Caenorhabditis elegans: one gene and its partner. The protein of the gene in region 1 interacts with the protein of each later gene in a pairwise test. Each region holds a gene or a part of one and is shown on either strand. Other genes may lie near its edges.

The links. The genes of interacting proteins can lie anywhere in the genome.
Region 2: the proteins of spe-42 (region 1) and fer-1 interact in a two-hybrid assay, tested with the Caenorhabditis elegans proteins (one study listed by BioGRID).

Annotation. Positions count from the first base shown.
Region 1 is NC_003283.11:11,734,899-11,738,654, reverse strand, and holds the start of spe-42 (Dendritic cell-specific transmembrane protein-like domain-containing protein), read left to right. Parts: upstream 1-1,658; 5' UTR 1,659-1,686; coding exon 1,687-1,772; intron 1,773-1,817; coding exon 1,818-1,949; intron 1,950-2,000; coding exon 2,001-2,105; intron 2,106-2,152; coding exon 2,153-2,216; intron 2,217-2,266; coding exon 2,267-2,359; intron 2,360-2,406; coding exon 2,407-2,624; intron 2,625-2,696; coding exon 2,697-2,886; intron 2,887-2,930; coding exon 2,931-3,338; intron 3,339-3,394; coding exon 3,395-3,538; intron 3,539-3,588; coding exon 3,589-3,717; intron 3,718-3,756.
Region 2 is NC_003279.8:8,629,139-8,632,894, reverse strand, and holds the start of fer-1 (Sperm vesicle fusion protein fer-1), read left to right. Parts: upstream 1-1,692; 5' UTR 1,693-1,710; coding exon 1,711-1,779; intron 1,780-1,826; coding exon 1,827-1,952; intron 1,953-2,370; coding exon 2,371-2,664; intron 2,665-2,763; coding exon 2,764-3,048; exon of another isoform or gene 3,049-3,094; coding exon 3,095-3,310; intron 3,311-3,438; coding exon 3,439-3,647; intron 3,648-3,693; coding exon 3,694-3,756. UniProt on the Caenorhabditis elegans protein: Required for the fusion of the membranous organelles (MOs) with the plasma membrane, a process essential in spermiogenesis.

The sequences.
Region 1 (3,756 bases):
TGATAATTGACGAACTTTTAAAAATTTTGTTTACTTTTTGTTTATGTTGTATTGTGTTGAAAACTAAATTGTGCCGAATTATACGCATCATTTTGAAAAAGGTAACTCTCTGCCAATTTTAAGTTCTTGAAAGTCATCTATCATCTAATTTGAACGGTTTTATTTATGTAAGCCAAGTCAGTAAGAAAGTGAGTTTAAAAAATAGATAATACAAAAAATAAATATGAAAAATAAATACAAAACCAAGATTTTGGCGAGTTTGTGGTTTCTTACAATAAATTCTTGATAGATTAACAGATACCTTCAAAAACAAATCAATGGTTGAAATACTAATTTTTAACGAAACCAGGAATTCCTACAACTGTCAAAATTAAACTGGCACATGGGAAATTGAGTATCAAACAAGCAAATTAATGTTTTCTAGTCAAATCAGGGATCAAACACAAAGAATAAAAAATCTAAGGTTGTGTAACCAATGAAAAACCGAACACTGACCAAGTTTAGTCAAATTGAAAGTGGGTGAAAAATGACTGTCGACCGAAAACCAGTCAGTATGAAAAGTCTGTTGAAATTGTCGCCGACAACGGGGGTAACCACGACGATTTCGGGTTTCACACACCATCAAATATATCCTTTTGTGCGTCTCTCTTATGGAACAATATACAAGTTACGATATATTTTTTTTTGATTTTCTGTCTCTCTACTATCCAAATTTTATATTTATTGGGGAAAAATGTACAGTATAGATTGAAGCCTGGTGAGCAATCGGAAGCAAAATCATTTTCTTTGTTTTTTGTTTTTTTTTATTCGTCGTATCTATTGAAAAGAGGCAACATTGCGTCGGAAGCCCCAAAAAGGGACGGGAATGACAGTACAATTGAATTCTTCTCTTCAGAAATCTGAAATTCTTCAGAGAATTAGAAATACAATTAAAAGTTGTGTTCGAGGGGACAAGAACATAACCACACCCATCCGTTTTATTGAGGATCTGAATGTTCACGTCATAAAATGAAAAAAAAGGGGTTTGTTTATAGGTGTTCTCTATATCGGATTGACCCAAATCGGCCTACAAAAAGAGGAAATGAGATATGAAGTGGCAATAGATACAGTGATATGATAACAAGCATTACGATAAGCAACTCGTTTTTTTCATTGCAATGAAGCAACGAAAATTAGTGAACGCCTGTTCCGAAATCAGATGTACTTCTGGTGATAAAAAGAAATAAACAATCGATGTACTTTTGGTAACGTGTATTCTGTAATTCAGTTCACAAATGTTTGAAAAATTAATATTGTTGCCAGCGGTTCCGAGAGATGTATATCCTATAGTTAGTGTATACTATAGTTCCATTGAAGCTCGTAGTTCTGAAAAATTCGAAATAATTGGTTTCATAGGCACACAAGTAGGCACATTTTGCTTGAAAACCTTATTCTAACTTTTCCACGTATAACCGTTTCAAAACATGAGCTATTGAATCACATAGGTCTCAAATGCCAATCCGTTTGGCTCTCTTGGCTCTTTAGTAAGCAAAGCCGAGAAAAGGGACACCTGCAGTTTCCCAATTCGGAGAAAATGTTCAAAACGTGAACTCAAATCTGTTTGCCAGCGGTTCACAAATTTTCAAAACGTATCATGGTGAAAATATTTATTTCACCTTTTTAAAATCTAACTGAATTGTATCAACTATGGGCTTAATTGGATTATGGAATGTAAAACGTCGAGCCAATCGAGCTGTGAGAAAGTTTCAATTTGTGGTTAATAATATCAGACGGTTGGTTAGAGTGTGGATTTTGTTCAAACACATGAAAAATTTCAGAGAAAAATCAGGTCAAAACCGAGTTTTAAGATATTCTGAACGTTTGAAAAAATGGTTGTCCGTTTTATATCCTCCATGGAAAAAGGAAAAAGATGATGGGATTTATGACAATTTATTCGAAGATGGAACAAGGTTTTTGGAATTATTTTGAGAAAAAAGAAAATCTTAAAATTATTTTTCCAGAGCTAATTCTATTGTACTTCTATTCCGAAACATCCTAATGATTGAATTATTTGGAATAGTTATGTATTTTCTGTTGTCGTTCAAATATTCACAATACCCGGAGTTGTAAGTAGATCATATCCTAAATCTAAAGTTAAATATTTTCAATATAGTATTGGAACTTCCATATCCACAATTATCCACGTTTTTCTGATTTTCACTTTGATATTTCCAAAAGTAAGTACTTCAGGATTTTTATGTGGAATTAATAAAATATTTCGTTTCAGATGATGACGTACTTTATGATTTCTATCCACGTCATGTTGACTACAAAAATCAAAAACATAATTTTAATTCTTCTTGTCACAATGGCTTTTGAAGTTTTATCAATTCATCTATTCACGGGAACATCTCAAACTAATTTCAGGGTCCTGCAATGAATGTTATTGGAAATATTCATCAAGTAGCTTCTGGTGTTGCCTGCGTTCAAATTGATGTTATGAGTTCAAGAAATGATGTGGAAGGGAATGTAATGGATAAAGGAGCTATGCTTGTTTCTCGGTTTCGTGCACTTCTTCAAAATGTATCTGGTCCAATGAATAAGGTCAAGAAAATGCTATTGGTTCTAGATGAAAAGATGACAAAGTAAGTTGCAATTGGGATACCCAAAATGTCAAATTCTTGTAATTTGATTAAATTGATATTGTTTCAATTAAGATTTGTGGACATCATGAGGCGACATTATCGAGTTATAGCCAACTTGTCAAATCAATGTCGAAATATGCTCAAAACTCCCTATACAAAATGTCTTGATATTTTCGACGACGCATATTTTTATTGTAAGGGGAAAGCTCGATTTTTTGGAAGCCACGGCGATGCTTGTGAAATGATTCAGAAAACTGCAAAGGTATTCAATCAGTCAACATATCAATCCTATTATAAAACATTAAGATTTGCCATCAAGCAAAGGGTTTCTCAACGGAAGTATGTTCTTTACCTTCTATCATTGGAAAAGGAGTTAAAGGAGCAGCTGTACCATTTTATGCAGCTTACTTTCAAGCAATTGAATTCGCGGTGAAAAAGATTTTCTACGTACACATTGAAGCAGCAAAATGGGCACTGAAGAAAGTGAATCCAGTGATAGAAGAGATAAAAAAGGCGAAAAACATTCGAGCTGAATACCAGTCATCTGATGATGGTAAACCAAATGCTGCAGATGATACAACTGCAAACTTGAGAGCAAGTATAAAGAAAAGTTTGATGGGAATTGTGAATGTATACATACGGATTATCAATATAATTTCATTTATTCTTCGATATTGTATCATGCCAGGATTGCTCATATGGCCGTTCATCTATGTGAGTTTAAATAAGTAATATGTTAACATACAAAATTTTGAACTGATATTTTTCAGACACTTCGGTTCATGTATAACTACAACTATAATGACGACTTTAAAAACCGTTTTCTCACAAAAGAATTTACAAAAATTGATCAAGATTGTGCATTTCGCGGAGCTCGTAAAGTCATGCCATTAATGGCAAATGAATCAAAGCAGGTAGGTTTCTCTGGTTCATTATCATTCTAAAAATCTTAGACACCGTTTAGTATGTCAGTCGAGGTCAGTGGAAAATGACAGAACAAGAGCGACCTAAATTTCGATTAGATATTTTCATCACAATTGTCAGTTGTGTCACTCCTTTCTTTATGTGTATGCTTGATTATGGTATATTTACGGTAATTAAATGAATAAAATTATATTGACTTCAAATCTAT
Region 2 (3,756 bases), on another chromosome or scaffold:
AGGGACATTCATATATGATTATAATGCTTTTACCGTTTTCCACAACACTGCAAATTATTTGAAGGTTTGCACTGCAATTTTTAATGGAATTCATAATCTGAATCGTCTCAAAGTTACATCATATTATTCACAAACATATGTCCACATTATCTCACTAAAGACTGTAAAATGTAGTAGTCATATATGTACCAAGTGTCCATATCCCTCAAAACAGGTGTTTTCAATCTCAGTACCCATTACAGTCTATCAAGTGCAATTTATAGGAAGACACGTGTCACTTCAGACACCTCTCGACCTTTTTGTTGTACAACATGCCAACAATTGTTCAATTGAGATGCTTTTTTTGGTTTTTGAAATTTGGAACGTTGAACTGAAGAGCTAAGACTCTGCAAATAAAGAATCCAAATTTTTATCTAATTTTCTAAATGTTCAAAAAAATCATGCTTGTTGTTAAGAGTTTGCTGATTGATGTTTAAAAATAAATATATTTAGGACTCCAACAGGATGGCCGAGAAGTTTGTCACAAAGGCCCTTCACTTTGAAAAATATTACTAACATACCCTTAGAAAATTTTGAGATCATCTGTAAAAACCAACGATGGATTCATTTTACGAACATAAAAAGTAGTGACAAAGAAGAGATATATTTTTTTTATTTAAAAATACCTCACTGCTGCTTAAATCTTTGTTTTCCAAATGCCACACATTTGGCAAAAATTTCAATAACTACAGTTTCGCCAAACTTCAAATAATTCAACAATCATAAAGTATTTAATCATTCATATTACATAACATTGGTTTCAATCCAAAAGCTTTCCTCAATAATATTCGCTAATCGGCTCGTCAATCAACAATGCTTCATGCCTTTTAGAGGTACCCGTGGGGGGTCAACTCCTTTCTGCAAAAGGCATATGGCCGTCTGTCAAAATGGGGGTGTGCTCATTCGATTTCGTACCAGATGATGATATCTCAGCAGGAGACACATTTTGTTTCCCTTTGAAGATACTCATGTCTTTTGTCAATTGCATAATCTTTTCACGTTTGTTTGACAGGCGGGAGGATTCGGTGATGTGAGCCGACGGAAATGACATGGAGTCATCCGGAATTATGAATGTAGGGAATTAGGAAGTGAGCACCCAGGAAGCACACCCGAAAGTTTCAATGAATATTTTGAGCAACAACATTTCCAAAGTATGTCTAAAGAAAACGGAAAAAAAAAAAAATCAAAAACCACGTTTTTTCTTATAAAAAATCTTTTTTAAAACTTTTGGAAAACTGATATTCGGCAAACGAAAATCGCAGCCGACTCCTTATAGACAGTGACAACTTTGACAACATCTCAAAAAAACCGATCGAGGCGTGACGGGGCGCCTCTTTCCCCGCCCAACTCGCGCTTGCATAAAAATACAGTACTCCTACCGTACTAGTCCACTACCATGATAATTTCATCTTTTTCTAGTGAGAATTCCAATTTCGTACTACAATTTGGCTGACAATTAAAAATCAGAAAAATAATGAAACAAAAATAAATACGTGAGAAAAAAAACAAAAAAGTTTTACGTGAAAAAAGTTGAATCACGTATCTTTTCTCACGTGACCTGTGCTTCTCTTGTCTTCACAGCTTTGCCACATTTATTGCCACGTCATCCAACACCCCTTGCAAAAATTTCACGGGAACCAAGTTATTTCTTTCAATTTCCACCAAATCGACATGACGGTCAAGGAAAAGCTACTGAAAGTGAAGCAAAAGTTTAAGCGAGGGGATTCATCCAGTGATGTGGTGTGTCTTATTTTTATTAAATTCCTTTAAATTTTGCAATATTTCAGGATTCCGGCCCGGAGAGAGATCGGGATGAAGACGATTCGGATAACGAATCGAGGAATACAAGCAAGACGAGCAAATCCAGCAAAAAGAGCAAATCGGGAAAGAGCACGGGAACATCGGAGATGACTGTTAGTTTCGGAATATTAGTTTAGAATCAGAACAAAGATGGACCTTTCCTTGTTTGTTTAGTACGAAATAGTTCCACAGTGATTTTATCGATTGTTGACATAGTTTGGTAGTATCGATTTATTATAATATCTAATATTAGATCTACGTGGCAATAATATTTCGCAATAGTTTGCTAGTTATTTATTGAAACTGTTATCTTTTAAACCAAAAATCGATTTTACTGGTATCGGTTTTGTAGGTAGTGGATGATAATGAAGTTCTAGTTTCATTCAAATCAATCATTTATTTCTTAGGATTATCGATTTTCGGCTTCTAATCGAGTTTGATAATTTGAGTTATTAGAGCTGCCACAATTTTGTTACTGAGTATAAGATTAATGAGAGAACGTTTTGATTTTTTTTAATTTACAAATTTCAGGAGCTATCGGACGACGGTGGATCTGACATCGAGCTGCTGCCAGATGATGGAAAAAGCTTTGGAAAACGGAAACTGCAGGACACTGACAAGCCATGTACCTGGAATGTTCTTGTACGAATTATTGAGGCAAAGGATGTCAGCACAGGATCCGCAAGAGTTCGAACGATCTTTGACGGAAATTCAAAAATGACAAGAACAGTTACTCATGCAATTCCAAAGTGGCGACAAAATATTCTCTACACAATAAAGAACCAGCCACTGGAGAAGCTTGCTGCCAAAGTTTTGACTCTTCGGGTAAACTTTTAAACATTGGAATATTTTTCTTTGGTTGCTCTGAAGCGTTATCAGTGATTAAGCATGTTCTCTGTAATTTCCAAATATGTAACTTTCCAGCTCGTGCGTCCTACAGCACTTGGTGAATCAAGCGTCGGAGAGTTCAGCTGCTACCTCTCGGAAGTAATTCACTCTCCCGACAGATCTGTCATTGCAAAATGGGTCGCTCTGGGATTTCCTGGAATGGATGACGAGGAACCGGACGATATCGCCTATGAGAACTGTGGATTCCTGAAGGTGACGCTCTCTGTGTACCGGATCGACGAGTCACCACCAACGCTGATTGATGACGATGGGAAGGAGCAAATCTGGAGTGGAGCACATCTCATTGATTATACTCTTAAGGTACGGTACTTGAAGATGCTTAATTACTAATAACTTTTCATTTCAGATCAGAGTGTTCTCCGTGGAACAGCTCATCCGACAGATGATCAATGAGAGGAAAATCAAGAAGAAGCAAAGATTCTATGTGATGGTTCAGTGTGGAGCACACAAGACCGAAACAACAATGGAATCTGCGTTTCTTGATGAAGATGCAAACATCGCATCAGTGAAGTTTGAGCAAGAGATCTATCTTCCAATTCAATGGCCAACTGTCATCTCAGAGGTATGAGTTTGGATTTTAAGACCGTATTTTTTCGCGTCTCTGAGACATGGTAGACAGTCTATGCCTACATGCCTGCCTATCTCTTATTTTCTTCAATTTCCGAAGATATTTTTATAACTGATTTTCAGATTATTTTCTCATTGTTCGACAAAAAGGGACGAGGCAAAACGTGCATAGGAAAAGCCACTCTTCCAATGAAAATGATTTACGAGCCAGGAGAGACTGGATACCTTCCGACTTTTGGACCTGCGTTTCTCAATGTATTCGATTGCGAACGCGTGACTCGATTCAGCATCTTCTCAAGAAAAATGCGAGGATCCCAGCAGGATGGGAGCAGGTAGGCTTGGAGAGTTGAAGACTAAACTAATTTGTTTAATTTTCAGATTTGTTGGGCGTTTGTTCATTGCGATCGATTGTGTAGAGTATATGGAGAAGGCTAATGCTCA